Coturnix japonica: one gene and its partners. The protein of the gene in region 2 purifies or fractionates together with the protein of the main gene of each other region. This does not show direct contact. Links are inferred from orthologs where the notes say so. Each region holds a gene or a part of one and is shown on either strand. Other genes may lie near its edges.

Evidence for each region.
Region 1: the proteins of HDAC1 (region 2) and SIN3A purify together in Homo sapiens (affinity purification with western blotting; 42 studies listed by BioGRID and IntAct, counting the BioPlex papers as one, with this or other methods). This does not show direct contact. The link is inferred for Coturnix japonica from reciprocal best matches to the Homo sapiens genes HDAC1 and SIN3A.
Region 3: the proteins of HDAC1 (region 2) and RERE purify together in Homo sapiens (co-immunoprecipitation; 6 studies listed by BioGRID and IntAct, counting the BioPlex papers as one, with this or other methods). This does not show direct contact. The link is inferred for Coturnix japonica from reciprocal best matches to the Homo sapiens genes HDAC1 and RERE.
Region 4: the proteins of HDAC1 (region 2) and ARID5B purify together in Homo sapiens (co-immunoprecipitation; 5 studies listed by BioGRID and IntAct, counting the BioPlex papers as one, with this or other methods). This does not show direct contact. The link is inferred for Coturnix japonica from reciprocal best matches to the Homo sapiens genes HDAC1 and ARID5B.
Region 5: the proteins of HDAC1 (region 2) and SMAD4 purify together in Homo sapiens (affinity purification with western blotting; 3 studies listed by BioGRID and IntAct, with this or other methods). This does not show direct contact. The link is inferred for Coturnix japonica from reciprocal best matches to the Homo sapiens genes HDAC1 and SMAD4.
Region 6: the proteins of HDAC1 (region 2) and CCT8 purify together in Homo sapiens (affinity purification with mass spectrometry; 4 studies listed by BioGRID and IntAct, with this or other methods). This does not show direct contact. The link is inferred for Coturnix japonica from reciprocal best matches to the Homo sapiens genes HDAC1 and CCT8.
Region 7: the proteins of HDAC1 (region 2) and SIN3B purify together in Homo sapiens (co-immunoprecipitation; 12 studies listed by BioGRID and IntAct, counting the BioPlex papers as one, with this or other methods). This does not show direct contact. The link is inferred for Coturnix japonica from reciprocal best matches to the Homo sapiens genes HDAC1 and SIN3B.

What each region holds. Positions count from the first base shown.
Region 1 is NC_029525.1:1,983,170-1,987,564, forward strand, and holds the start of SIN3A (paired amphipathic helix protein Sin3a), read right to left. Parts: upstream 3,091-4,395; 5' UTR 3,034-3,090; coding exon 3,024-3,033; intron 2,235-3,023; exon of another isoform or gene 2,071-2,234; intron 1-2,070. Other genes in the region: PTPN9 (tyrosine-protein phosphatase non-receptor type 9), read right to left, coding at 3,557-3,765, 3,848-4,055, 4,129-4,279. UniProt on the Homo sapiens protein: Acts as a transcriptional repressor. Corepressor for REST. Interacts with MXI1 to repress MYC responsive genes and antagonize MYC oncogenic activities. Also interacts with MXD1-MAX heterodimers to repress transcription by tethering SIN3A to DNA.
Region 2 is NC_029538.1:4,508,019-4,512,469, reverse strand, and holds the start of HDAC1 (histone deacetylase 1), read left to right. Parts: upstream 1-1,556; 5' UTR 1,557-1,941; coding exon 1,942-2,118; intron 2,119-2,529; coding exon 2,530-2,647; intron 2,648-3,955; coding exon 3,956-4,030; intron 4,031-4,451. UniProt on the Homo sapiens protein: Histone deacetylase that catalyzes the deacetylation of lysine residues on the N-terminal part of the core histones (H2A, H2B, H3 and H4).
Region 3 is NC_029536.1:2,676,741-2,680,559, reverse strand, and holds part of RERE (arginine-glutamic acid dipeptide repeats protein), read left to right. Parts: intron 1-1,345; 5' UTR 1,346-1,491; coding exon 1,492-1,816; intron 1,817-3,819. UniProt on the Homo sapiens protein: Plays a role as a transcriptional repressor during development. May play a role in the control of cell survival. Overexpression of RERE recruits BAX to the nucleus particularly to POD and triggers caspase-3 activation, leading to cell death.
Region 4 is NC_029521.1:6,795,124-6,799,493, forward strand, and holds the start of ARID5B (AT-rich interactive domain-containing protein 5B), read left to right. Parts: upstream 1-1,517; 5' UTR 1,518-4,370. UniProt on the Homo sapiens protein: Transcription coactivator that binds to the 5'-AATA[CT]-3' core sequence and plays a key role in adipogenesis and liver development.
Region 5 is NW_015439872.1:57,705-62,008, forward strand, and holds the start of SMAD4 (mothers against decapentaplegic homolog 4), read left to right. Parts: upstream 1-1,299; 5' UTR 1,300-1,337; coding exon 1,338-1,752; intron 1,753-4,304. UniProt on the Homo sapiens protein: In muscle physiology, plays a central role in the balance between atrophy and hypertrophy. When recruited by MSTN, promotes atrophy response via phosphorylated SMAD2/4.
Region 6 is NC_029516.1:93,548,414-93,552,964, reverse strand, and holds the start of CCT8 (T-complex protein 1 subunit theta), read left to right. Parts: upstream 1-1,600; 5' UTR 1,601-1,674; coding exon 1,675-1,734; intron 1,735-3,350; coding exon 3,351-3,441; intron 3,442-4,214; coding exon 4,215-4,294; intron 4,295-4,551. UniProt on the Homo sapiens protein: Component of the chaperonin-containing T-complex (TRiC), a molecular chaperone complex that assists the folding of actin, tubulin and other proteins upon ATP hydrolysis.
Region 7 is NC_029543.1:3,316,860-3,320,678, reverse strand, and holds part of SIN3B (paired amphipathic helix protein Sin3b), read left to right. Parts: intron 1-94; coding exon 95-278; intron 279-498; coding exon 499-1,093; intron 1,094-1,582; coding exon 1,583-1,752; intron 1,753-2,301; coding exon 2,302-2,475; intron 2,476-2,718; coding exon 2,719-2,811; intron 2,812-3,101; coding exon 3,102-3,196; intron 3,197-3,607; coding exon 3,608-3,812; intron 3,813-3,819.

The DNA of each region.
Region 1 (4,395 bases), on a different chromosome or scaffold from region 2:
AAATTGCATCATCTGCGATGCTTAATTGGGGAGGGAAAAATAAAGACTGCGAAATACAGCATGGTCTGGGTGAGACTGAGAGCAAGCCACAAACTTTAGGTACTGTCCTCCAATAAGAGCATCCATCTATATGCTCAGCAATGGCTTTACAGAGCAAGCTCCACTCTATAGAGACCACATGGACCTGCATCCCCTCCCTCCCAGCACCAATCTATCTTTTAACTTCAATCAGAGCATCTCCTTACAGGAATACACCCCTCCACAGGAGGATAAAAGCTTTTTCACTTTCCTTTTCCTGGGCTGTAAGTTCTCCCCTTGCAGGAGAGCAGTGAATAGTGCAGGTCTGCTGCGTGACACCTGTTGGAGCCACAACACTTCTGCACACACAAATGATGCTTTCAAGAACAAGTTGTGAAACCCAACCCCACAAGAGAGATTTCAGACCTTGCAGATGCAAACCCGAGACACTCCTGAAACAGGGGAACAGCACAGCTGCCGGTCAAGCATCTAAGATTTGCAGGAGCTGCTTTAAAGCCCTTAGGAGGCTGCAGAATGCCAGCTACAGGCACCTTGTGAATATGAACCTCTAGAGAGGAGCTCTGATGCCACTAAGAGCCAGAGATGAGGACAAATCCCAAGCAGAGGGACACTTTTGCATGTCACCTGCTGCCTGAGCAGGCTGGAAGGACACCCCAAACTCACAGATCCTCACATTAGCAGCAACGTTGCTGTCACATTGAATTTTAAGCGTTAGTACCTGGACTGAGCTGTGTAGAGTGAGGATGGTTTGCTCTTAAGGTGGAAAGGACCCAAAGCTTGGAAGCAGCCCATGAGTGGCTCAGGATCAGAGAGGTGACATCCTGGCTGCTTGCTCGTGGTATGCCCTGCCATGTGGGTTCTCCTCGAGCCTTGGCATCCTTACCTATGGTCTCCCTTCTCACATGCAGGCAGAATGAGAGCAGTACCTGCAGCCACTCTGTGACAGCAGAGCCAGGGGAGCTGGGAGAAAGCAGCACAGCACCGAGAGTGCACCCATAGCCCTGCAGCATGGAACAGCAGCCATAGAACTGTGTTGGCTTCACCAGCCACGATGGCTTCCCAGTATGTATGGCTCATACATGCTAGGAAGGTGAGCAACTCACTCCTGTCATGGTTATGCCTTTCCGACAAGCTCACAGCAGACTGGTGGCCATGAGCACAGCGTGAGCTATGTCTTCCAGCACCCGTACACAGCAGCGCTCTGTGCATGGCTTAAACGCAACGGGATCACGTTCTTATTTATGTACCACCTCGCTGGGCGTGCTGAAGGTTTCTATGCCCCCATTGGACACAGTGACCATGCATAAGTTGGGCTTGGAAGGGACCTGTGTAAGAGGAAGGGCTGGGTGCCCTCTGGCCGCTCTCCCTGCTTCAGCCCCAGCTTTACTCACGCTGCCCCTCAGCTGGGGGGGTGGGGAGGAAAGGAGTGGGGCTGTTCCTAACGCCGTGCTGTGGGGTTGGAACTACGTGATCCTCGAGGTCCCTTCCGACCCGGGTCATGCTGTGATGCTGTGTGGGAGCAGGATCCTACAGGTGCTTTGAATCAGCACAGGCTCCTCGTGCTCGCTTGGAAGCGCCAGAGGAGCCTCCAAAGCAGGAAGCAGGAGCCGTGAGGGCAGCGCTGCTGGGCCGAGCTGAGCCGGGCGGGGCGGGGCGGGGCGGGGCTGAGGCGGCCCCGCGTAGTGGGCGGCGCGATGGGCGGGAGGCTCCGTCCCGCAGCGCGCCCAGCGCCGCTCGCCCCGCCCGCCGCTCCCGCCATGCCGGGCTCCCCCCGCACACACACACACACACACGCGGGAGGCTCCGTCCCGCAGCGCGCCCAGCGCCGCTCGCCCCGCCCGCCGCTCCCGCCATGCCGGGCTCCCCCCGCACACACACACACACACACACACACACGTACACACTCACACTCACACACTCAGGGCTCAGCGCGGTACCGGGCCCTGCCCTGCCCCGCCCCGCCGGATGGCTGCTCCCCCCCCCTCAGCCCCTCACGGCGCCGCGTCCCCCCGATGCCGCCTTTCCCCTCACCTGGAGGCGGCGGTGCCCGGCGGAGTCTCGCTCCGTCCCGGCGCTGCGCTGAGCCCCGCGCTCGGCCCGCGGGGGAGGCTCGGGGCGCCGATGTGTGTAACCGCCGCTCGGCCGCCGCGGCGGAACGCTGCCCGCTTCTCTGTTCCCCGGGAAATCCCGCCCCTCCCCGCCGCAGGGAGGGGGGAGACCCGCCTCGCGATTGGTCGAGCCACGCGTCGCTCAGCGCGCGGCCCAATCGCCTCGCTCGGCCCGCCCCCTCCGCCCGCCCCCATTGGCCGCGGCCGCCAGGAAGGGGATGTGGAGAGGAAGGGGAGGGGGGAGCGAGACCCGAGAAAAATGTCCGTACGGCCGGCAAGCCCCGCCCCCTCCCGCCCCCGCAGCCTTCCCATTGGGCGGCGGGCTGAGGAAGCAACCAATCAGCGCGGCGGACCGCTCCGCCGTCACGTCGCGGGGGGGTATAAAGCCACGCCCCCTCTCCGGGGAGCCCTTTTGTGGATGTTTACATCGGGGCGGACCGGGCCGTGATGGCGGCGGCACCGACCGCGCGGGACCGGCACGCACCGCCACGCCGCCTTTGTCCCACCGACCCCACACCACTTCCGGGAGCCAGCACGTGGGGGGGGGAACACAGCCAGCAGCCAATGGCCGCGGGGGGCGGGACCGCACGGCGGCGGAGCGGGCGCTCCCCACCCCCTCCCCTCACACACACACACACACATACACACACATATACACACACACATACACACACACATATACACACTCACATACACACACACACACACACAGCCGCGCTCCCCCCCCACTCGTGCGCGCTCCCGCGGCGACCGTTGGGCGGGCGGGAAAAGCGCGGGAGCGCGCCTCGCTTCCTCCCCCCTCAGAGCTCCCCGGGCCTTCCCATCCCATCACACCCCACATGAGGGGCCCGCTGGGCGGGCAGCGCTGTGACATACCCTGTGACATACCCTGAGCGCGCAGCGAGGCGTCCTGAATGGAAACGGGAACTCCCCCCGGGGCCCATTGGCCCTACGAGGCCGTTCGTCACCGCCGGACCGCCCTCGGGGGGCTGATGTGGGGAGGAGCGACGAGAAAGCAGCTCGGAGGTGAGATCGCTCTTCGGTTTGCTCGCTTAATGTTAAATACCACAGGGGAAAAAAAAAACCAACAAAAACACCCCCAAAAAGCTCCTCCCCCACGCTCCGGGATTATAAAAAAATAAGAATATACACATTCCAAGAGCTTATTACAGTATAAAGTTCCCGATGCAGCAGCTTGCGCTGGGAACACAACCCCCCCCCCCCCATCCTTCAGGGCTGTTCTGCGTACAGTCTAGATGGTCCCACCGAGAAACGAACAAACAGACCAAAAAGGAATAAAAATCATAAGAAAATAAACCATCCCAACCCACCCCCCCTCCTTTTCTTTTTGTCCCTCCTGCCCCGGCTTGCTTGAAGTTAAGGCACAGTTCCCAGCTGGCAGGGCTGTGTCAGTGCCCGGCCGAGCCCTTGTGGGCGGCAGGCAGCAGGCCGCGGCGCTGGGCGTGCTCCAGCACTGCGCTATAGCAGAAGTAATACTGCTCCGGGGTCTGGATGCTGAATGCTCTCTGTGTCCTCATCCGCTGCACCGTCTGCTGGATGTCCAGAGTACCCACATCCTGCAGCTGCGATAGGCAGATGTCCAACGCACACAAAGTACCTGGGGATGAAGGCAAGCAACGCTCAGCCAACACAATGCAATGCAACACCCCCCCTGTGCTGGACTGTGCTGGACTCCTTACCCGTCCTGCCGATGCCGGCGCTGCAGTGGACCACAAGCGGAGGACCCCCCGGGTGCCCCTTGAAGCGTGGTCCCAACGCACTGACAGCCACACGCTGCTGCTGCTTCACAGCCCCCAAGAAGTCAATGAGTGTTGCTGCCGATGAGGGCACGCCGTAATCCGGCCAGCTCAGGTATTGGAAGTGAGAGAGCAACCGCCGCTCCTTGCCCTAAGGGTGAGTGGGGTGGTCAGTGGGATGGGATAGCCCCGCCACAACCTTAGCACATAACCTTAGCACACACCTCGGCACTGTGGAGCTCTAAGATGGTTTTCTTGTAATGGCTGAGGTTCTCCACGCCCAGGTTGGTGATGGTCAGCGCCCCAAAGCGCATCTGGAAATCCTTCTCCAGGGGCCAGTACTGGCCGCACTTCCTCCTGCCCCCCTCCTCCAGCCTGCGGATGAGACAAGGTGACACGGGGATAATGTTCTTCCCTGCCAGCATCGTGTGGTGCCCTGTGTCCCATCAGCTGCTCTCTGGCTGTGACAGCAGCTGATCCAATAGCAAAAC
Region 2 (4,451 bases):
TTGGGCAGGTAGTGAGGGCTCTCATTTCTTCTCAGAAGCAAACATGAGCAGTAGGATTGCATCCTGTGGTGGTGGCCCTGAGTCTTCAGGCAGGGTGAGGAGGAGGAAGGGATCAGAGCAGCAGAACTGCCTGAATTCAGCACACAAGCTGCCTGTGGAGCCCCAGCATCTCAAAGTGCAGTTTGGGGCTGGAGCCCTGGGCTCAGTCAGGCCCAGTTTAAGCACAGAGTGCTGGCAGGAAGCGGCAGGGTGCTGGTTATGCACAAGCAACCCGGGTGTGGAAGATCTCTCTGTGTCCAAACTTCTCCCTCCTTAGAATCTTAAGGTGTTCACAGGGATACTTTCCAGTTTACCAGCTAACATCCTTCAAGGCATGAGATGGTCTGTTAAACACAGAATAAGTGATCATCTTGCTGTGAATGCTAAGCAGAATTATATCCTTATGGTCCTTATTGCACGGTAACAAAATGAAGTTAGTGTTATTCCCCCTTGCCTGTAGCTGCCCTCACCCATTTACTCTGTGGGGAGGTTTTAGTGGCTTGTTTCCACTGCTCTTTTATGAGGGGCTGGCAAACATTCACAGGGGGGAGCTCATTGAGCTGTGGGGAAGGGTCTGGGCTGAGTGGAGAGGTTGGGGAAAAAGAAATGTGGTGTGGAGGGGTCCTTCATGTTCATGTTGAGGTGAGTTGGGGCTGCGTATGGGAAATTCTCTTTTGTTCCAACATGGGGCTCTGCTTAACCCAGCAGACAGGAAGAGGTCTGTGTTGAATTCTCACACTTAATGTGCACCCATTAGCACTGCTGAGCTCAGTGCAGCGTGGTAGGACTTGTGGTGAGACACGTCTGGGGTCTTGCTGGCAGCCCAAGGGAAAGAAGGGAGGCAATACATTTGCAAAGCTTTGTGTGTGTGTTTCCTAGATATAGTTTTGAACACCCCCAATGGCTCCCCAAAGCTTAACATACCCTGCTTTTGCTGTAGGAAGTGTTTTGGTGCAGGCAAAACCCACCTCCTTTCACTGTAGCATCACACAGATGAACTCCAGCAGCAGAATGGTTTGGGTGTGGGGTTTGCATGTCCTTTAAATGGAAGCTCATGCCCATGGAGGAGGCATCACGGCTGTGTGCTGCGAGGAAGTAGCAGTTTCTCCTGTATGTTAAGATTGGTGATGAAATATTAATGCTCCCAGCTGAGTCACTGGGCAGACCGGGTTGAGTCTCTTGCTTCGTAAGCTGATGGGGAGCTGTAAAACTATGCCAATGACTTAGTTTGATTTCTCAACAACATGAGGCTTGTGCAGCGTCGCTGCTGCGTGTGGCTCAGTGCGTTCCCTGCTTTTGGCAGCACTTCTCATGGCCACGTCAGGCAGGGACAGAAACCTGAGTTAAATTCTATGGAAAACACCACGGAAATGTGTGACCTGGGAGAGGAGGGAAAAAGCCAGTGGGAGATGGCAGCAGGAGCTCAGCTTTTACTGGGAGGAGGAACATCTGCATGGGGAGCTGAGCTGTGGGGTGTAATTGTGAGGTGCCGACTTAAATTAACCTGGTGAAGGATTTCCAAAGGGTTTCAGGCAGTAATAAGGGATGGGAATAATGGGAGCTGTAAAGCTATAGCTGTGCTGTGATTTGCTTATTGACAGAATTGGCAGCTTGTATCTCATGTCTGCTGGGTAAACAGTAGTAAACTGAGGCAAAGTGGCTACGTGTGCTGGCTGGTGAGTCATTGTCTGAGCTGGGATTAAACTCCTGTGCCTCCTGGCTTGCAGGTTTCTGCTCAGAGAGCTCTGTATTTCTTAGGGAAGCCCCATACTTGGCCATACCCTGTTGTCCATAAGGCAGTCTTGTTTGGGTCTGGGATAAAGCTTTCTGATGGTGCAGATGCATGTGCAGCCCCTTCCCCCTGTGAACAGATGGGCTGCTGATGGGCACATGAGATGACAGATGTGGTTGTATTTGAAGCAGTTCGTGTTTTTCCCTGCTGTAACAAAATCCTTTCTGTTCCCAGGTGATGTTGGAAACTATTATTATGGCCAGGGACACCCCATGAAGCCCCACAGGATCCGGATGACCCACAACCTACTGCTGAACTACGGCCTTTACAGGAAGATGGAGATATATGTAAGTGTGATGAAAAAACAAGTGTGTTGTCAGTTGTAATTTTGGTGCTTCAAGCTCTTAAATTCTCTTTGACAAGCCAAAGAGGAAAGTGAAAAAGGATTAAATGGTTGTGTTGACATATTTCTGCTGCATTCTGATTCCTTGCAGTGAGATGTTCTTTGCTTCAGATAAGCTTTGGAGTCTGGAAAATTGGTTTGCTCTCAGTAGCTTAAATATTTTCTGTACCTGGATATGTAGTATGTTCCAGTCTCTGGTAATGGCTTTTTTGCCTTTGAAAATAAATTTCTCTTGTCTAGTGCTGCTGCTTCATTTACTTATTTTATTATTTTTGCTGTTTCTGGGAGTAAATCTGAGACTGGAAATGGGATGTGGGGAGGGCAGTGTTCCCAACCAAACCCTCTGTCCTTGCAGCGCCCTCACAAGGCGAACGCGGAGGAGATGACCAAGTACCACAGTGATGACTACATCAAATTCCTGAGATCCATCCGCCCAGACAACATGTCTGAGTACAGCAAGCAGATGCAAAGATGTAAGCTGTGTGTGTGGGGCTGTGTTCATGTCAGTGCTAAGTGTTGTGCGATTGTATCTGTCTGCTTTGTGTCAGAATCTTCTTTCTTTTTCTGTGAGATAACCAGTTCCTTTAACCTCTGCAGTCCATGAAGGTGCTGAGGATCTCTTGGCAGCTTTAATGCTACAGAAACCTTTCCTTTTTTCGGTCTGTCTTAAACTCTGAGGTGATGTTTTGTATCAGGTCATAAAGGCAAATAGATGGGGGAGGCTCAAGTCTCTTTTAATCATTAGTTTGATACACTGCATTCCTTGAGAGCAGGAAAAAAGAGAAAAGCCCACAGGATCCGTTTATGTCAAATGTGATTTCCAAATTAAAAGAGATACGAGTCCTGAGCCTGCAGTAAGGGCACTTGAAACCCTGGTATTAGCTGAAAGGGACAGATGTTTAGGCACAAGCACATAATAGGAATGAATAGTATGGTTCACAAGTAATATACATTGAAAGACCTCCTATAGTAAATAATTTGACTTAATATACCAAAGAATGTATTTACACAAACTGAACTGTTTACCCCTGAAGCTGATACGGCTCACAGACACCCACTCTGCTCTCTGGTAGTCAACGTTTTCTCTATTCTATTTCCACAGAACTGTTTTTAACTGAAGGAGGCGAAATATGAAAATTAATCTTAAACACACAGAGGGCAGATCTTTTATTCAGCAGGGAGAGGAAACCCCTGCCTTTGCTTTCTTGGGAAGAACAAGCTTCTGCCTGGCTGAGAAACTTGCACCGGAGGCTCAGAGCAGAGGGGAAGGAGTTTTAAAATGTAGATTTAACACAAGCCTGCTGTTAGTGTGTTTAATGGCAGGGGGTGCTGCCTCCTTCCTGCACAGTGTGTGCATGGCCCTGCTGAGCAGCACCAGCTGCCAAATAGAGCCCAGCACAGTCAATGTGCCAAACGTGAGGGCCTGTGCTGGTACAGTGCAGCTCTCATGGGCAGCATCTCTCCCTGCACGCTCCTTTCTGAGATGATTGACTGGTTCCTGCCTCCCTCTGAGCCTTCACCCGGTAGGTGGCGTGACTGTCCCACTGCAGCTCCTGGCACCTGCTGAGCTGGGAGCATCCTTCCATAGCAGCAAACCATGCAGGCAGTGTTGGTGGGACCACCTTCATGTCCTGTCATTTGTGTGTTTTTCAGTTTGTTTTTCAGTTGATTAAAGTCCTTATCAGGCTAGGTTTTGGGTTTTTCTTTAATCAGACAGGTAGTACAAGCTTTACCAATGCTTTGTGACTTGGTCTTACTAATTCTTATGTATTCTTTTCAAGTTAACGTCGGGGAGGACTGTCCTGTGTTCGATGGGCTGTTTGAGTTCTGTCAGCTCTCTGCTGGAGGCTCAGTTGGTAAGCTCATCCGTCGTACAGTCTTTTCCTAAGCAGATTTACATCAAGTTGTTCTGCAAAAGTGATTTGTTGTAGGTGGGGGTGGGGGAGCCCTATGAGCCTATTTCTGACTTCCTCAGGTTGAGATTTCTCCCCATGCTGGAATTCCAGCTTTGCATTTTGACAGACCCCTCTGCGTTTGTTAAATGTATCTTTATTACTCTGAGCTACTTCTTGGATGACTCCACAAAGGTGATAGACAGAACCCTGACAGCAGTGGGGTTTTACCAGTAATAATTAAAAATAAGTAATGTGAGCTGCACAGAAAAGCAAAGGCACAGAAGTTGCCTGGTGTAGGTGCCAGCTAAAAAGCAAGAAAGGGTTATTTTTCTTGTTCTTAGCAGAAAGCCAATGTCTCTGGCCATGAGGCAGAAGCTGGAAC
Region 3 (3,819 bases), on a different chromosome or scaffold from region 2:
GCAGGGCCTGGATTACATAGTAGGCTTCAAATACACAGCTTCATTGCCTCCTTCAAAATCAAAGTAGTCCTTTACTTTCCTCATTGTGCTTCCAGACACTTCACATGAGGCCATTCAGCCCCTTTAGGCCCCGTGTTTTGTGCTGGAGGTGCTGTAGCCTTGTGCTCAGTGCAGCTATTCCTGCTCACAGTGGTAGTGTGGCATCCTGGGGAGCTGTGTGTTGGATGGGGTTGGTACACACTTAGTACACAAATTCGAGTTAGAGCTGCTGTATTTTTATGAATGATATGGAATCTGCAGTGTAAGATGGGACCGAACTCTGCTTTAGGATAGCAGCCTGACCTCTTTGGAAGAGCAATAGAGGCAGTGGGATGACAAACTGGTTGTATGACATGGCTTATGTGACTCACTGCATTGGCATTCTCTTGTAGAGAGTATCGGGTATCATTTCTGAAGAGGTGTGAAGTGTTTTGAGCACTTCTTTGCTTGTTCATAGTTTGTTTTTTGTTCTCATGATGGGTTTCCCAGCTCTTACCCTGTATCGATGACCATGGGAAGATGGATGTCTCAGCTGCTAGAAGCCTCTCTGGAGACTGAAAGCGCTGCTAGCTGTTGCTGTGAGGTGTAGCGTGTAGAATGCAGTCATGGTCATTTTGATCTGAGCAACAGGGAGGGCGTTTGGACTCCATTTTGAGTACAAAGAGTAATGGGATGTGGCTGCATAGGGCTGGTGCTGTTTGGCCTGCAGTGGGGGAGCTGGGTGGGCAGCTCCTCTGTGCTCTTGGCTTTGCTATGGGGATCCTGGCCCATAGGACAAGGCTTGCCAGTTCTCTTGCAACAGTTAATACAGGTTTGCTTACTGTAGGCTCACACTGAAGGAAAAAATAACGCAGTTGATGCAAAGAGTATTGATTAAATGATCAAGGAGGTAAAAGCATTGGATTATCTCTTCCCGTCCTATTCCCCAGCAGGAAACTGAGTGTGTGAAGCTGGTGGCATGTAAAATCCACCTTCCTGTCTTCTGTTAGCTGTAAAGCAAGCATGATATGTGGAGAAGCAAGTTTTCTAAGTGCTGTGGTTTCCTTTCAGTTCATTCATTGCTGTGCTCTTTGGGTTGCAGCTTGGTTGTAAAACCACTCGCTCTGGTTTTGGGAAGGTGGGTGAAGCTGTTGTTTCCACAAGTGCTTCAAAGGACCATCTTGTATTTGCAGCGTTGGATTTTTCTGTACTAAATAACTTTGGGGCGTGGGTTCCTTTTGTTTTAATGGGTATTTTCAAATATGAGAGAATGGCGAATATTAACATTGGCTTTTTTCCCTCTTTCTTCCCCCTTTCCTCCTTCAAGAACCTTTTTAAAACGCTGGGGTTGTTGGAGTGGTTGAATTTTTCCTGGATTTGAGTGAGAAATTCAGAAGACTGAAGCCCAGGCTCACTGTCTACCTTTCACGGAGGCCCAGCCGTGAGAGGACAGAAGAAGGCACGTGGCGAATCATGACAGCGGACAAAGAAAAAGACAAAGACAAAGAGAAGGACAGGGATAGAGACCGGGACAAGGAGCGAGACAAAAGAGATAAGGTGAGGGAGAGCGAGAACTCGCGTCCTCGACGGAGCTGCACGTTGGAAGGAGGTGCCAAGAATTATGCAGAGAGTGACCACAGCGAAGATGAGGACAATGACAACAACAGTGCCACCACGGAGGAGTCCACAAAGAAAAGCAAAAAGAAACCACCCAAGAAGAAATCCCGGTATGAGAGAACAGACAACGGTGAAATCACGTCCTTCATCACGGAGGATGACGTTGTATACAGGCCTGGAGGTAAGAAGTTCTGTGCTGTGTTTGTTTTGCAGCTAGTTGTGCACTTAGCTATAGCACTTAGCTGGCTGCAGCGTGTGCTGTGCTCCTGCTCCAGGTTGTGGTTGTATGGGGGAGGTTGCCACGTTTCCATTGGAGACTATTATGGATCCATATGCAAAACTTTACAGATACATCTTGTAGTATCCCATTTGTTGAAATGGTTGTGAGCTTTCCTTTAAGAATGAACCACCTTTTTCACTTTCTACTCCATTAACTTTGTTTCATATGGGAAGCCTGTTTTAAATTGAGCTGGACTATGCACTGTGCACCTTGGTCTGAGATTGAAACTAGATGTGATCTGAGCTGGAGGATGGATGAGGTGGCATCTTCCCCCCCACTTCTAAGTTGTTCTACAAATCCATTTTGTTTGTTGAGATCCTCATCTCTTCTCCTTGTAGAGTAAATCAGGTGAGTTAAGATCTCACACCCATTATCTCATTCATTCTCCCTCCCAATTCCTAATATATAATAGCTAATATAGCTAATGCCTGTGCACAGCAATGTGTGTACTGAGCAAAGCCACCAGTGTCAGCAGGTGTCTGGGTGTGAGGACAGCAGTGAGAAGCTTATATTACACTCTGCATATCTTGGACGTGCCATTCAATTGCTGCATGGTTCACATGAGGTTTTCAGACTCATATATAAGGATTCAAGGTGTAACCTGTGGCTGTTGCCAGCTAATTCCTTCCTGAAAGTAAAATAGAGATTATTCACCTGGTTGTATTCCTTGTTTTTTGATGTCCCCATGTTCATTTGTGCTGTGTTTTAGTAGTTAATTGCAGTTGTCTGTTTCACCATGAGGGATGTTGTTTTGGACTGTACTGTTCAGAGTGCTGGCTTAGGGGCTCTGCTGGCTTTATATTGCTCTTTGTCAGACGATTGCTGTTGGTGTAGTAATGCTGCTGGAGCAAATCAGATGAATTCCAAATAAAATCCATGGAAACTAGAGAGGTAAAAGCTTGTCTGATTTTTTTCTATGAGGCACAGCGTGTCTCAAGTACCAGAATGTCATTGTGTGGGTAATGTAAGTGGGTGAAATGCTCTATCCAGGTGAGGCTGAAGGAAGTGCCCTGAAGTGCAGGGCTTGTAGCTGGGTGGTATCTGTTGCCTGAGCAGTAGCAATAGGAAGCCTGCCTAAGGATCAGCTTTGGAGCAATCTTATTTTCAGTGTCAGAGGATGAAAAATACGAGTATGTTAGGAACAGCTGTTGTGTGGGCCCAGCAGTACAATGCGATATGCTGGCTTTCACCGCAGAAAGACTTGGCGTCAAATTAAGATGGAAAATCACAGTGCTCTCAATTTCATTCTGGAGCGGATTGGAGGAGAATTAGTGCTTTGTTCGGGGCTGCAGGGCTCTGTGTGCCACTGATGCAGCGACACATGGCTGGAGGTGTATCTGCAGGGCAGCAGGAAGCACAGCTTACACCATTGCAGGAGAGCTATGGAAGGAAGGAGCAGATAGCATTTATTGTTTCCTTACACAATAATCTGTTCAGAAGAGAAAGGGCCATGTACAGACATAGCAGGAAACATAGGGGGGGAGGTCCTTTCCACGTGAGTGATTCTGACTCTGAGATACTTAGGTCTCCTATGGATGAATGTTAGTGCAGTGCTGGAGGGGTGTGAGCAAGGATGAGACCATAATGGACCTGCTTGAGGTTTTTAATACTTTAATTTAAAACATAACTTCCTAACAGGAACGAGCTTCTGAATTCGCACTTCATTGCATAGTATATATTCTAAAAGAAGCGTAGTAGGTGAAAATCTTACATCTTCTGGCTAGGAGGTTCTGTAAAGGGTGATGTACAGTATATACTAAGGATATAAATTATGTACAATTTGAGAGAGATTAAGAGAATTCAAGTCAACAGGACTCACCCAGCAAGGATTAGGAAGCTGGATGTTAGAGGTGTGTGTGGGATGGATACCTGTCTGCTGCTTACATCTCCAGGGCTTCAGGGAA
Region 4 (4,370 bases), on a different chromosome or scaffold from region 2:
TTAGATAGAGCACAATGAACACTGTAGGCTGTATTAAAAATATAATATTATCTGGACATAGTGCTTACATGGATTTATATGGATTATATATGAACTGGGAATATCAGTAGGAACAATGATACCATCATTAGATCTACCTACTTGATTTCACATTCACCTTCAGTGTGTCTTTATAAATGACAGAGAACCTAGCCAGTGTTGTATTATTCCTGTCCTAAGAACAAACGAAATGTGTGATTTTCATCTGACCTTGATTTCATTAACATCTCTGCTAAGAGCTTTTCTTCTTTACAATACCTGCAGAAATTAGATAAATGCATTCAAAAGTAATAGCAGAGATTTCCAGGATGAGCAAGGCAAAACATTCCTAGCGTGGCAAGTTACTGCAAGCTTTTCTGGGACAAATCCATTTACTGTATCAAAATCATATGAAACACATTGGGAATGTATATCTAGACTCAGGATCAGATTCTGTGTAGCATTTAAAGGACCTCTGAGCCATTTCCAGTTGTGTCAACAACTTTCACAATTCTTGGAAGGGCTATCTCATTTCACTCCCATTTCTCTTGTCTCTTTGCAGTGATGTATACTGAGACTGAAAAATACACATAAATTCCCCATAAAACTCCAATACTTGTGGTCTTTGTTCTAGTAATCCCACATTTCTAAATGCTATCAAATCAAGGACGGCTACACTTTATCATTTTATCCCTAAAAAGTCTTAGAACCTTTCTACCTTCCCCCGCAAATATTGCATTGCAAATTAAGCACTTAGGATCTATGGCAGTCCGGACTTCCAGAATATGATACACATTCATAATTGTGTTTGTAATTAAGAAAAACAAGCAGCAACACCGGAATGTGTTTTTTATTGTTCATTTTCAGTAATGCTTTCTAATTCCAGCAGTTTCAATAAAATGTATTACACTAGAGAACAAACATCTGCAGCAAAGGAAAACAGTGGAAACAACCAAATCCCAAAGAAATTTTTCTGATTTGGTGTTTATTGGTAAGGGCTGTCTGAGAATGCAGGCAAATTAGTCTATCTCCCAAGACATGGGTGTGTGAGAAATGGCTGTCCCAGATCGCTTCCTGTGCATGGCACACATACCATACTTTGGGGTGGCACATAGTAGTACGATAAAGTGTTATCACATAAGTACAGGCTGAAACACTGTTACGTCTGTAGAACACGAGGGTGGGTAGGATAATGTCAGTCTTACTGCACCGCACTGTGTCAAAACCACAAAGACAATGTGCAGCCAAAGATAGCTCCAGCGTAATCACTTTTTTTTTCTCTTCTGATTTTCTTTACAGGCAGACTTAAGAGAAAGGCAGTAAATGCAAGAAGCTAAAACTTTGAGGACAGAACAATTAAAAGATCTTAACTAGCCAATTGAGAAAGGTGATGTTTTTTTCGGAAACAGGTTTGGTGAGTGATGCGTCAAACATCATCACTTTGGTGCACAGGATGCTTCACTTAACTGCTATCTAGAAATAGTTTATTTCAGTTCCTCAAATTTACTCTGTTCTGCCAGTGTTGTTGTTGAGCTTAGACTTAAGTGGGAGGCTGTAAACAGAAGGATATGTGATTCAAGCATGTTGAATTTCAGTTTATTTCTGAAGGGAAGTCTTAATTTAAGAAAAAAAAAAAAAATATCTCACTGGTTTCATTTTCTTTCTTTCTTCCAGTTGTGAAATATTTAACAGTTTCTGCTTTTTCAGGATACTTGGCTAGCAGGAGAATACACACAGAGAAAACATCATTTGAGGTATTGCAGATACAAAAAGGAGAGAATTTAATTGATGTGTAACTAAACACTTTCCACTATGGTTATTCATCAGCAATATTTTTAATTTCATTTTAAATTACTTCCTAAGCTTTCAAACTCATTTAATATTTCATTATTTTTTGTTACTTGCACTACAGTAAAGTTGTGTAAAAAAGGAGCTGGCATTTTTACAGTTGTCCCACAAAGGCTGCCTTTTGATTTCCTTGGAATGCTTTCTGGAATGCATGTAACCTTTCATCTTAGAATGCATTTCCCACCCCTCTGTATGCTAACATGCTTCCAGACTTTCTCAGACACAGAAATGCTTTAAACACAAGAGGAATCTCACTGTAGCGTAAATGATATAAGTAGAACTGCTTTAATGTCTATGTTTCAAAATCACAGACTGTATAAAAATGTTATGTTACAAAACTCCGTGCCCCAGAAAGCATGCTGAATGCAAATCATGCTCTCACGTGGGAAGACTGGCCCACATGTCTAATGGAATATCTGAGAAATAGAATGTTGCATTAGTTATAATTTTATATTTGTTTCTCATTAAATCAAACCTTAGGTTTTATTCCACTTCATGCCCATTTTTAGGATGATAATGAAAAAAGGGTTGCAAGCCTGATCCATCCCAGGCAGAAAAACAAACCACCCTCAAATAGTGTACCTGGAGGCCTTGTTTGCTGCTGCCTGCCCTGCACAGCCAGGAGGGGGCATTGCCTGCACGTTGTTCGCCAGAAGGAGCTCCAACGCTCAGGGCAGAACCCGCTGGCTGCGTTTGGGTGCCAATAGCCTGGAAATAGTTCTTAGAGGACATGTCAGATGTGGGCGCTGAGCTCTTGTAAAGCAATTGTTTGAAATGTTCAGCGAGCAGAATATTGTGCTTGGTCTCATGCGTTGAGGAAAATCCTTCTATTGCTGTGTGATCAGAAGCGGGCTCGGTAACAATGAGCTTCAAGTTTTCTTCATTTTCCTATCCACCACAGGCCAGCACAGTAATACAGGCTTCCTTCCAGATACAAAAGCTCACTTCCCATTGGAACACTGAAGTAATTCATGAGGAATTACTGATATACCCTGTAAAAATCTTTATAAATATCTAAGATTCATTATTATGTTCTATGTTCCTTTATTGCTCTGCAATATATGTATATATATAATTTTCTGAAATCAAGATGTCCTTTATTTTGCTATGTAAATTAATTTCCCAGGGCATTATGCTCATACCACAGGTTTCCCTGGTTTTGAATTCAAAGGTAAGAACAGAGTTCCTGAAAAGTGCCATCTGTATGGAAGGGGAATTAATTATTTTTGTAAGTTTTTGCTGAAAATGTTGTTGGCAATTTAGCACTTCAGTCAAATTTGCAGACTGCAAAATTCTTTTTATATGGTGAAGCATAAAGGGACTAACGATGATCGTGTTAAGATCAACACTAAAGAAAAGGCTCTTGCCGGCATCTCTTCTTCCCTCTCCCAGATTTTGTAGAACTGGGAAATTCTGAAGTGCTTTGAAGATGAGAATTTGTATATAAACATCAAGTATTACTGCAGTGATTTGTTAGCATTCACTCTTAGTACATATGCATAACAGCTGACGTACTGCAGAAATCCAAAGTGGAGTTCAAATCCCACAAACTGTATTTGTAGCTCTCTTCCTGCTGAGCTAATGATATTTGTAGCGCTCTTCCTGCTGAAATAGTGCTACCAATAAAAACAGCCCCAGGGTTTTTTTTTGGGAATAGGAGGAGGGATGGTTGGAAGGCGAAGGTGAAGGCGGGGACATGATTAAAAGGTGGACATAACAGCTCTCTCAGCAGTCAGAGTACGTGCTGTGACACGGCATATGAACATCGGTTTGAAGAATCCTTTCATATCTTCAGAATGTTAATATGAAATGCAAAACGTCATGCTTTGGATAGATGGGTAGGAACAAAATGTTCAGATGCAATATGGTGCATTAAGTACAGTCTCCAGTCTGTATTCCTGGCTTTTCCATTGGTTTAAATCAGACTTGCTGTTTTTAAAGTCTCCCGTGTCATGTTGAGTTACTGCTATAGTCGTCTCTAAAAATAAGTATACTGTCATTTCTGGGACCTACCAAAAATTGAGGCTTTGGCATAATAATCTGCAATTTTTGTTGCACTGTTGATGTGACAGTGTTCTTTACCATATACATACCTAACGCAGTTCTTAACAGGTTCCCACCCTGCAAAGCCTTTAAATTAAATCAGGCAGATTTTGTAGAAAAGGTGTGTTACACTTCACCATATCTGCCAAATTAGTGGGGGTTTTCCAGGGGAAAGTGGGTAGAAGAAACACTACAGTTTTTCCTACGTGAGGTATAATATTGATGTTTTTAGCATCTGCATGGTAAAATTTTGGTCTCTGCAAGGATCTTGTAATGAGATAGTGAACAACCAGTAATTATCTAATAGTAAAAGAAAAGCTTTTCCAGCAGTACTTCCCTGCATTGCACTGGCAGAGGATGGAAGTTTTGAAAAGATGGAAAGCCATTATTCAAAGAAGAGGCTGGTGTGAAAAGAGATGTGAAAGGAGGCTAAAAGAGAAAACGTGTTTTTTTCACCTGTT
Region 5 (4,304 bases), on a different chromosome or scaffold from region 2:
CGGCTCTTAAGGCCGCGCCGCGAGTGCCCGGATGTTGCGCATGCGCACCTCCAAACCCGGAAGTGCCTTCCAGATACCCGTATGTAACTCAAACCCGGAAGTCCCTCCAAATCCCCGGATGTACTGCGGGTTCCCAACCCGGAAGTCCCCGGATGTAACTCAAACCCGGAAGTCCCTCCAAGTCCCCGGATGTCACTCAAACCCGGAGGTCCCTCCCAGATCCCCGGATGTACTGCGGGTTCCCAACCCGGAAGTCCCCGGATGTAACTCAAACCCGGAAGTCCCTCCAAGTCCCCGGATGTCCCTCAAACCCGGAAGTCCCTGCAAGTCCCCGGATGTACTGCGGGTTCCCAAACCCGGAAGTCCCCTCTAAATCCCCGTATGTAACTCATGCTCACTCCCAAACCCGGAAGTCCCCTCTAAGTACCCGTATGTAACTCAAACCCGGAAGTCCCTCCCAGATCCCCGGATGTACTGCGGGTTCCCAACCCGGAAGTCCCCGGATGTAACTCAAACCCGGAAGTCCCTCAAACCCAGAAGTCCCTTGTAAGTCCCCGGATGTAACTCAAACCCTGAAGTCCCTCCCAGATCCCCGGATGTACTGCGGGCTCCCAACCCGAAAGTCCCCTCTAAGTACCCGTATGTAACTCAAACCCGGAAGTCCCCTCTAAGTCCCCGGATGTACTGCGGGCGTCCAACCCGGAAGTCCCTTCTAAGTCCCCGGATGTAACTCAAACCCGGAAGCCCCTCCAAGTCCCCGGATGTAACTCAAACCCGGAAGTCCCTCAAACCCGGAAGTCCCTTGTAAGTCCCCGGATGTCCCTCAAACCCGGAAGTCCCTGCAAGTTCCCGGATGTACTGCGGCTTCCCAACCCGGAAGTCCCCTCTAAGTCCCCGGATGTAACTCAAACCCGGAAGTCCCTCCCAAATCCCCGGATGTACTGCGGGTTCCCAACCCGAAAGCCCCCTCTAAATACCCGTATGTAACTCAAACCCGGAAGTCCCTCTAAGTTCCCGGATGCAGAAGTCCCTCCCAAATGCCCGGATGTAACTCAAACCCGGAAGTCCCTCCCAGATCCCCGGATGTACTGCGGGTTCCCAAACCCGGAAGTCCCCGGATGTAACTCAAACCCGGAAGTCCCTCTAAGTACCCGTATGTCCCTCAAACCCGGAAGTCCCTCCAAATCCCCGGATGTAACTCAAACCCGGAAGTCCCTCCCAAATCCCCGGATGTACTGCGGCTTCCCAACCCGGAACCCCCCCTAAGTACCCGGATGTGCTGCGTCCCTCCATCTTAGCGGCCTCCATCGGGCTCTCCATCGTTCCCGGTGTCCGCCATGTCCATCTCCACCCCCCCCAGCAGCAACGACGCGTGTCTGAGCATCGTGCACAGCTTAATGTGCCACAGACAGGGAGGAGAGAGCGAGACCTTCGCCAAACGAGCCATCGAGAGCCTCGTTAAGAAGCTGAAGGAGAAGAAAGACGAGCTGGATTCTCTCATCGCCGCCATTACGACCAACGGGGCTCACCCGAGTAAATGCGTGACTATACAACGTACATTAGACGGGAGGCTGCAGGTGGCTGGGAGGAAAGGGTTCCCCCATGTGATCTATGCGAGGTTATGGAGGTGGCCCGACCTGCATAAGAATGAGTTGAAGCACGTCAAGTATTGTCAGTACGCGTTTGATCTCAAGTGTGACAGTGTGTGTGTCAACCCGTATCATTACGAGAGGGTGGTGTCGCCTGGGATCGGTGAGTACAATGGGGTCCTATGGGGTCCTATGGGGTCCTATTGGGGTCCTATGGGGTCCTATGGGGTCTATGGGGTCCTATTGGGTCCTATGGGTTCCTATTGGGGTCTATGGGGTCGTATTGGGGTCCTATGGGGTCCTACAGGGTCCTATGATATAATGGGGGGAGATACGCAATTTGTGTAAGGGAGGCCATAGGAAATAATGGGGGAGATACGGAGTTTGCGTAGGGGAAGTTACGCAATTTGCGTAAGGGACTAGGGAGCCAATGGGAGGAGTTACGCAGTTTGCGTAAGGGCGGGGGGTTCGATAATGGGAGTTACGGAGGTTGCGTAAGGGAAGTTACGTAGTTTGCGTAAGGGACTATGGTGGTTAATGGGGGGGGAGTTACGCAAACTGCGTAAGGGGCTTCTATGGAGTCCTATTGAGTTCTATGGGGTCCTATTGAGTTCTATGGGGTCCTATTGAGTTCTATGGGGTCCTATTGGGTTCTATGGGGCTCTATGGGGTCCTATTAGGGCCTATGGGGTCCTATTGGGGTTCTATTGGGGTCTATGGGGTCCTATGGGGTCCTATGGGGTCCTATTAGATCCTATGGGGTCCTATAGGGTCCTATGGTGTCCTATTGGGGTCTTATGGAGTCTGTGGGGTCCTATGGGGTCCTATGGGGTTCTATGGGGTTCTATGGGGTCCTATTGAGTTCTATGGGGTCCTATTGGTTTCTATGGGGTCCTATTGATTCCTATGGGGTCCTATTGATTCCTATGGGGTCCTATTGGTTTCTATGGGGTCTTATTGGGGTGTATGGGGTCCTATTAGATCCTATAGGGTCCTATTGAGTTCTATGGGTTCCTATGGGGTCCTATTGGGGTCCTATTGAGTTCTATGGAGTCCTATTAGATCCTATGGGGTCCTATGGGGCTCTATGGGGTCCTATGGGGCTCTATGGGGTCCTATTGATTCCCATTGGGTTCCTATAGGGTCCTATTGGGGTCTATGGGGTTCCTATTGGGGTCCTATTAGATCCTATAGGGTCCTATTGAGTTCTATGGGGTCCTATAGGGTCCTATTGAGTCGTATTGGGATCCTATTAGATCCTATGGGGTCCTATTGATTCCTATGGGGTCCTATTGAGTTCTATGGAGTCCTATTGGTTTCTATGGGGTCCTATTGATTTCTATGGGGTCCTATGGAGTCCCATTGCATCCTATGGGGTCCTATGGGGTCTATGGGGTTGAAGCACGTCAAGTATTGTCAGTACGCGTTCGATCTCAAGTGTGACAGTGTGTGTGTCAACCCGTATCATTGGGGTCCCATTGGATCCTATGGGATTCTATGGGGTCCTATGGGGTCCTATGGGGTCCTATGGGGTCGTATTGGGGTCCTATGGGGTCCTATCGGGTCGTATTGGGGTCCTATAGGGTCCTATGGGGTCCTATTGAGTTCTATAGGGTCCTATGATTTAATGGGGGGAGATACGTAAATTGCGTAAGGGAGGCCATAGGAAAGAATGGGGGGAGTTACGCAATTTGCGTAAGTGAGGGCTCAGGTTACGCAATTTGCGTAAGGGAGTGCGGTAGTTATAATGGGGGGGAGATACGGAGCTTGCGTAAGTGGGAGTCGGGTTACGCAATTGACGTAAGGGAATAGGGGTTTATAATGGGGAGGAGTTACGCAATTTGCGTAAGGGACTACGGGGTTTATAATGGGTCCTATTGGGTTCTATGGGTTCCTATGGGGTCCAATGAGGTCTTATGGGGTCTATGGGGTCCTATTAGATCCTATGGGGTCCTATTAGATCCTATGGGGTCCTATGGGGTCTATGGGGTCCTATGGGGTCGTATTGGGATCCTATGGGGTCCTATTGGGTTCTATGGGGTCCTATTGAGTTCTATGGGGTCCTATTAGGGTGTTATTGGGATCCTATGGGGTCCTATGGGGTCCTATTGGTTCCTATGGGATCCTATTGAGTTCTATGGGGTCCTATGGGGTCTTATGGGGTCTATGGGGTCCTATAGGGTCCTATTGGGATCCTATGGGGTCCTATTGGGTCCTATTGAGTTCTATGGGGTCCCATTAGATCCTATGGGGTCCTATTGGGGTCCTATTAGATCCTATGGGGTCCTATTGAGTTCTATGGGGTCCTATTGAATCCTATGGGGTCCTATTGGATCCTATGGGATCCTATTAGATCCTATGGGGTCCTATTGATTCCTATGGGGTCCTATTGAGTTCTATGGAGTCCTATTGGTTTCTATGGGGTCCTATTGAGTTCTATGGGGTCCTATTGATTCCTATGGAGCCCCATTGGTTCCTATTGGGTCCTATAGAGTCCTATTGGATCCTATGGTGTCCTATTGGGTCCTATAGGATCCTATGGGGTCCTATTGAGTTCTATTGATTCCTATGGGGTCTATGGGGTCCCATTGGATCCTATGGCGTTGAAGCACGTCAAGTATTGTCAGTACGCGTTTGATCTCAAGTGTGACAGTGTGTGTGTCAACCCGTATCATTACGAGAGGGTGGTGTCGCCTGGGATCGGTGAGTATTGAG
Region 6 (4,551 bases), on a different chromosome or scaffold from region 2:
TTCTATTAGCACTCCTTATTACAATGTCATGATAAGTTAAAACTGATGACATTTTAAGAATTACAGGGTGGTAAAACTAAACGAAGAATGTTCTACTGAGGATGCTTAAACACCACATCTCAAGTGATTTCATTAAGCTGTAGATGGTCTACTTACGATGCAGAGGTGAAGCAACTCAGTCCCTGTTAGGCTACAAGCTTATTGACTGTGTGGCCTAAATTCAGCAATATTATTTCCCTTCTTTTTCAAGGTATGTGTTTTCCACAGCTTTCTCCTGGAGAAACTGTCTGCTCATGGCTTTCATGGGTGTACTATTCATTAGGTAAAGAACTAGCTGGCTGGCTGGGCCTGAAGAGTTGTCGTGAATGGAGTTAAATCCAGTTGGCAGTGGTCACAGGTAGTGTTCTCCAGGGCTCAGTATTAGGGCCAGTTTCGTTTAACATCTTTATCAGTGATACTGGTGAGAGGATGAAGTGAACCCCTCTATAAGTCTGGGTAGTACTGTTGATCTGCTTCCTATGCTCTGCAGAGGAATTTGGATGGGCTAGATTGATGGGCCATGTCCAATTGCATGGTTAAATGTCAAGTCTGACACCTGTGTCATAACAACTCCGTGCAATGGGGTTGACCAGCAGAAAAGGATGGGGGAATGCTCTTTAGCAGCCAGATGAACACGAGCCAGCAGCGTGCCCAGGTGGCCAAGAGGGCCAATGGCATTCGAGCTTGTATCAGAAATAGCGTGGCCAGCAGGACTAAGGCCATAGTGAGCAATGGCAAGATGACACTTCGAGTGCTGTGCTTAGTTTTCACAGAATCACAGAATGACCCGGGTTGGAAGGGACCTCAAGGATCATGTAGTTCCAACCCCCCTGCCTGGCAGGGCCACCAAACATACACATTTACTAGATCAGGTTGCCCAGGGCCCCGTCCAACCTGGTCTTGAACACCTCCAAGGACGGGGCATCCACAACCTCCCTGGGCAGCCTGTTCCAGGGCCTAACCACTCTCCTAGTGAAGAACTTCCCCCTAACATCCAACCTAAATCTTCCCTCTTTTAACTTAAAACCATTTCCCCGTGTCCTGCTATTGTCAGCCCTTTAATGGCTGTCAGTTTTGGGCCATTCCCTACAGAAAGGGTGTCAAGTTGTTCAACTGCATGCAGAGAAAACAAATGAAGATGGTGCAGAAAAACAGTTAAGAGGAACAGCTGAGGGAACTGAAGCTGTTCTGTCTGGAGAGGTGGAGGCTGAAGGGAAGCCTCATAGCTCTCTACAGCCGCCTGAAAGGAGCTTGCAGTAAGGAAGACAGTGTTGGTCTCTTTTCTTGAGTGCCAAGAGACAAGCGAGGAAATAGCCTCCAGTTGCACCAGGGGAAGTTCAGACTGGATATCAGGAAAAAGTTATCCACGGGAAGGGCTGTAAGGCAGAGTCCCCATGCGGTGGTTTAACAGTGGCTTTGTCAGTTAGGTAGACGGTCGCTCTCGATGATCTTAAAGATCTTTTATATTCTAAGGCCGCAGCCCAAGCGCCGTCCATCACCGCGCTGTGGAGAAGCCGTACGGCGCGCTCGATCTCCCTGTCAGCGGCTGGTTGTGTCTGCGAGTCCGCCTCGCTCCCCGCGCATGCGTGCTGCCAGTCCCAGCATCCTGAGGCGCGGCCGGAGCGGAGAGGAGCCATGGCGCTGCACGTCCCCAAGGCCCCGGGCTTTGCCCAGATGCTCAAGGAGGGAGCGAAGGTGAGAGCGGCCGGGTAGTGAGCGCCTCCCGGGCTCCCTCCTTTCCTCCCCTCTTCCCGCTGCGAGGAGGCTGCGGGGCGTTTGGGCATGATGGGCGGGGAAGGTTCTGGAAGGCCCGGCCGCTCCACGCGGTCTGGGCTCTCGGTTGCTCCCCTCGGCCTGTGGGTGCCAGTGCTGCTGAAGGATGGAATAGAAAGAAAGCAGCTTATTGTAGGTGGAAGAAAGGAGTGAAGTTTTGCTTGTTGCTGGTTAATACAATGGAAAATAAACAGCTCAGCCCTAATTTTGTTCTTTTTTGGAGGCTTCCTTGGAGAGAAGGAATGGTTTCTTTCAGAGGTGGGGGAGAACAGAGTGCCATAGATGCTGGTACTCTAAAAGCAAAGATCGATGATAGAAAGAGCTGTGTTCTACTGAATGAGAAGGATGTGTTCTGAGGTGCTTGTTCTGCATGTAGAGAATAAATAGTTATTAGGGAGGTGCATGCTTATGGTGGCCTTCCAGAACCTGAAGGGACCTATGGGAGAGCTTTTTCATAAGGGCATGTATTGACAGGATGAGGGGGAATGACTTTAAACTGGAAGACGGTAGATTAGACTAGATATTAGGAAGAAATTCTTTACTGTGAGGGTGCTGAGACACTGGAACAAGTTGCCCAGTGAAGTGGTGGATTCTCCCTGCCTGGAGGCATTCAGAGCCAGGCTGGATGGGGCTGTGAGAAACCTGGTCCAGAGGGAGGTGTCCCTACTATAGCAGGGGGTTGGAACTAGGTGATCCTAAAGGTCCCTTCCAATCCAAACCATTCTATGTTTCTCTCTTCTGGGAGGCATAGACTATGGCTTACCTGGTTTACAAGTAAAGCCCTTTCAGGAGATCCATTATTTCCATTTGAAGCCAGGCTGATCAGCTTCTCAAACACCAATATTTCCTGAATCATAAAATCATTTAGACTGAAAAAGATGTTCAAGATCATCGAGACCAGCCATGAACCTGACCTGAGACTCATGACTAAACCATGTTACTTGGTGCATGGGCATACACACTCCAACGTGTTAAATTAAGTCACTGAATTAAAAAAATACACAGACTGACTACTTTTAAATTTTTAAGCCACTCATTTCAATGTGAAACTGAGTTACATGACTCTGTGATGTGGAGTTATAGGTAAAAAAGCAAAACTCTGTTGCATGTCCCCAGTCCTACCTTCTTTCTCCAGGCTGCTCTTGGTTATTTTCTAGCTGCATTTGGTATGCCATTAATATTTTAGTAGTCTTTTGGCGTATGAAGGGGGGCTATAAGAAAAGAGGAGATGGGGAAATGGTTTTGAACTGAAAGAGAGACTTAGATTGGATGTAATGAAGAGATTTTTTACCATAAGGGTGGTGAAGCACTGGAAGACGTTGCCCAGAGAGCTGGTAGATGCTCCGTCCTTGGAGATGGTAAAAGGCTGGATGGGGTAAAAGGCACCTGATGGAGCTGTGCATGACCCTGCGTATTGCAGGGGAGTTGGATCAGGTGGCCTTTAAAGTTTCCTTCCAATTCAAATGATTCTATGATTATTATTAGTGCCTCTTTGAGAAGTGACTAGTTCTGAGCAGTTTTGTCTCATTTGTTTTTAGCATTACTCGGGACTAGAGGAAGCTGTCTACAGGAACATCCAGGCATGCAAAGAACTTGCTCAAACCACCCGTACAGCTTATGGACCCAATGGTAAGTAAATCATAGTATCATAGTATCACAGTCTCGTGCGGGTTGGAAGGGACCTTAGAGATCATCGAGTCCAACCCCTGGGATTTGAGCCCATGTGTAGCAGAGCAGCACTTCTACCACTTGTGCCACAGGGGGATTCAAAGCTGGGCCCTCCGGTGTTACAAAGCGGCATTCCTACCACTGTGCCACACTGAAGCTGCTGTAGTTATTTTGATCAGAATGGTGCGTCTGAAGGCTAATCTTGCCTTGACAAAGAGGCAATTAATTGTGTCTTGAGAAAACATATTGGACTTGCTGTAGGACTCCAGATAAAGTTGTTGTGTCTGGTTAGTTCTGAAGCTATGCAGTATGTACCTTCTTTTGCTGGGGTTTTTGTGCCTGTTTTGCTTCAGTTACTTTGTCCTCTTTGCTGTCTGATTGCTGTATGGAAGACCTGCAGAACTTAGAGGAAAGATGGTAACTCGGTAGATAGTCAAGATTAATGTAACCGTACTGTATTCTGATAGATACACTGTATTCTGATAGATACACAACGACAACAGTGTTCTCCGGTGCCAATTAAATTATGCACCAATGTTTCTGAAAACTCCTTGTTCAGAAATAATGAATTCTTGATAATGTAATGCATTCCCAAGTGTTATTCACAAAAGTACATGCATCTGAAGTTATAAATAGGGCTCGTGTTTTAATGTGTCAGGTGAACTAGAAAGCTATGGAAACAATATATCTGTACAGTGCAACAGTTGCCTAATAAATACTTTTTTTCCCACTAGGAATGAACAAAATGGTTATCAACCATCTTGAGAAGCTTTTTGTTACCAATGATGCTGCTACTATCTTGAGAGAGTTGGAGGTGAGTTCTCTTAGAGTGGGTCAGTTGGAAGAGACCTTCAGAGATGAGAGTCCAACTGCTTGACCACTTCGGGACTGAACAAAAATTAGATCATGTTGCTGGGGACACTATCTAAATGTGTCTTGGAACACCAAAAGCCAAGGGGCATCAGCCACCTGTGCAGGAAGCCTGTTACAGTGTGTGACCCACATAGTAAATTTCCTCCTGATGTTCAGTCTGAACCTCCTCAGTACAGCTTTGCGTCATGGTCGTAACCC
Region 7 (3,819 bases), on a different chromosome or scaffold from region 2:
GTTTTGGTAGACACTGTTAGAAAGGACAGCTTATCTCCAGTGATGGTGCTTTTATTTGTCTTTTCAAACTGAAGTAGATTGTACATTTATGCAGATTGAAAGCAAAAGAGGAGGAGTGGCGGGAGGCCCAGCAGGGCTTCAACAAAATTTGGCGTGAGCAGTACGAGAAAGCCTATCTGAAGTCCCTTGACCACCAGGCTGTCAACTTCAAACAAAATGACACCAAAGCTTTGCGCTCCAAGAGTTTGCTGAATGAAATTGAGAGCGTCTATGATGAGGTATGTATGCTAGCGAATAATTAATTCTCTTTGTCCTTCATTTACACTATTGTCTGAAGGTTCGCTCCGTGCCTGGGATCATCTTGAGGTGCTCTGAAGAGTTCTCAGTCCAAAATGGCTGTCCCAAGCATAGAGTTAATCCTGGCTTATTTCTTATGGCAGGAATGGCACTTGAGGATGGAGTGGAAGGATCTTTTATCTATTTGTCTCTTGATTACAGCATCAGGAGCAGCATTCAGAGGGGAGAAGTTCATCCACAAATGAGCCTCATCTTATCTTTATCTACGAAGATAAGCAGATTTTGGAAGACGCAGCATCTCTTATCAGCTATTATGTAAAACGTCAGCCTACCATCCAAAAGGAGGATCAAGCAACCATTCGGCAGATAGTGCACCACTTCATACCTGAGTTGTTCTTCTCTCAGCCTCCTGAACACAGTATTTCTGAAGAATCAGCAGATGAAGACAGAGAAAACCAGCAGGGGCAGAACCTGGATACTCCAGAGCTACGGAAAAAGCATGTGCCTGGGCCTCCAAGCAGTCCTTTGGAGACAAAAGCAACCTTCTGTGATGTTACAGCTACTGAGCCCCATAACACTCTGGATGATGTTTACAGTCTGTTCTTTGTCAATAATAATTGGTATTTCTTCCTCCGCCTTCATCAGACTCTGTGCTCAAGGCTCCTAAAGATTTATCGTCAAGCACAGAAGCAGCTTCTAGAATATCGGACTGAAAAAGAGAGAGAGAAACTCCTTTGTGAGGGGAGAAAAGAAAAGACCAATGATCCAGCCATGGAGCTAAGACTGAAGCAGCCAAGTAAGAATATGCTCTGACGTAGTCCATTATTAATGTTCTGGTTGTTAGTGCTTGATTGTATGTATCTGGGTAACTGCGACCAGCCGGCAAGGAATGTAGGGGTCCAAACCTCTGCTCTGTTTGCAGTTCATGGGTACAGCTGATCTGACAGGACAGCTCGTTTGTAATTTGTCCTTTGAGGGCTTTCACGCATAGTTTATAAAATCTTCCCACAAGTGCACAGCTGTCCAGTGTTCCCAAAGTATCTTGTATTAAAGTGTTACTTAGTTTTAAAATGTGAATGGTTCTCTGATGAAACCGTTAACCACTCAAAGTACTGCAAAAGAGCTTGAGGAAGAACTGTTATAGTATGTCAGTTCTCCTGAGAGAGAATTCTGCAAAGGTTCTCCGAGTACTGAATGTCATGATTCTCGAGCAGTGCTGTCCTGTACACCTGACTGCACTCTGCCTTTTGCATGTAGTAAGTGACTGCTCTTTTCCTCTGTCCAGGTGAGGTGGAACTGGAGGAGTACTACCCTGCATTCCTGGATATGGTGAGGAGCCTGCTGGATGGGAATATTGACCCAACACAGTATGAGGACACGCTAAGGGAGATGTTCACTATCCATGCCTATATTGGCTTTACTATGGACAAACTGGTGCAGAATATTGTCCGCCAGGTAACTATGCTCTTTGGGGGACAGCATGTTTCCCTTCTGTGGACAAATAGCTTTCTTACAGCACCTGTAATGCAAGAACTCTCAAAACTTTCAGCAAATGTATAGAAGTTAAATCTGTGGCAGAAAGGGCTTAATAAAAGTTCAGTGCGATAGTTCAGTATCTGCTACAGTACAGGGCCCACCTCAGGGGACTGACTCTTCCTGGCCTTTTCCAACACTTCTTCAGTTCCAGACTTTAAATTCTGCCATTTCCAAGATAAATCGAAGGCAAAAGAAAGGCTTTGTCCCTTGTATGCAATATCTGTCTTCTAATTGTAGGGTTGGTTTTTGTTGTTTATTTGTTAAATTAGGCACATTAGTTCCTTACTTTCTTTTTTCCCTTATATTGCAAAGTAATGAAAGGTAAAATAAAGTATATAAAGTCTCTGGAGTTAAATCTTTGATATTTTGTATGATGCTATGCTTAGTTTTGTGTTCCTTTCATAACACACTGAAGTTAAGTCTTGGCCCAGACTGCTAACTGAATTCTCTCCATTTTTTTAATGGAAGCTTCACCATTTAGTGAGTGATGACATCTGCTTGAAGGTTGTTGAGCTCTACTTGAATGAAAGGAAGCGAGGTGCTGCTGGAGGTAACCTATCCTCTAGGTGTGTCCGGGCAGCAAAGGAGACCAGCTATCAGTGGAAGGCTGAACGCTGCATGGCAGATGAGAACTGTTTCAAGGTGAGAACCTGCTGCCAGGACTGTGCCACTTCACCTGGGAGAAATGGGTTTTAAAGTGCCAAGGCCACAATATGGAAACAGGGGTACCAAAAACAGCATAGACAGTGCGGTGGTGTATTGACTCACTGAAAAGCCTTGTTGCTTATGCCTCTCCTGTTCTTGTATTTATTGTCCAAACAACTTGTGAATATCCATCATTTTATTGTGGACTCGTGGCCAACATCTTTCACCTGTCATTTACAGGTAATGTTTCTACAGCGGAAGGGACAGGTGATCATGACCATTGAGCTTCTGGATACAGAAGAAACCCAAACAGAAGATCCGGTGGAGGTCCAGGTAATACTTTTGTGGCCATGGAGTCTGCTGTACGACAGACAAAACAGATGTCTAAGAATGCTTTTCAGCTTTCTTAATCCCAAATATGAGTTTCTGCCAGGAAGATAAGCTTATCTGGGAGGTGTGGGCATTGACAGAAATGTGTGTGTTAATGAAACAGGTCCAACATAAATCATCTTGGGGTTGGGTGAGGTACCAGCAGCTTCCTAAAGAGCATCTGGAAATAAACTAGTCCTTTGCAGCAGTGTTTATCTTGAGAGAAGTCTTGACTTGAAATTGATCTCTTGTAGCACCTTGCTAACTACATGGAGCAGTACGTTGGGGTAGAAGGAGTACCCAACAGCCAGAATGATGGCTTCTTACTGAAACCAGTTTTTCTGCAAAGGTGAGCTCCCTCCCTCTCCTGAGTCATATCTGGGTCAGCTGGTCCTGCTTCCTCTGAGCGTTTGGCAGTGATAGCAGGTGATGTGCAGCACAGGCAGTTCTAGGGAAATGCACTCGTTTCTGAGGTCCAGGGGGACTGCTGGTGTTCAATGTGCTGTACAGGAATGCTGAAGAAAAAAATTAATGACCACTGCGCTGAGGTGTGTTGATGATGGAGTGGGACTGCCTAAGCAGTCCTTTCTGGGGGGAATTTGAGGTCTAGTTTGTTTGTTTCCATTTTGGTAACTACTTGTTGAGAGTCTGAAAACTAAAACATACATTTCATACTGGTGCTGTCGGCAATGCTAGCTGGGTAAAAAGAGAGTGGGTAAACACGTGTGACAAATGCTTCATAATCTTTGTTTCGTTCCAGAAACCTAAAGAAATTTCGCAAGTGGCAATGTAAGCAAGTGAGAGCTCTGCGGAGTGAGGTGAAGAGCTCCTGGAAGAGACTGATTGGGGTTGAGAGCGCGTGCAATGTGGACTGTCGGTTCAAGCTCAACACCCACAAAATGATGTTCATCATGAACTCAGAGGATTACATGTACAGGCGGGGAGCGCTCTGCCGAGCCAAGCAGGTGCATC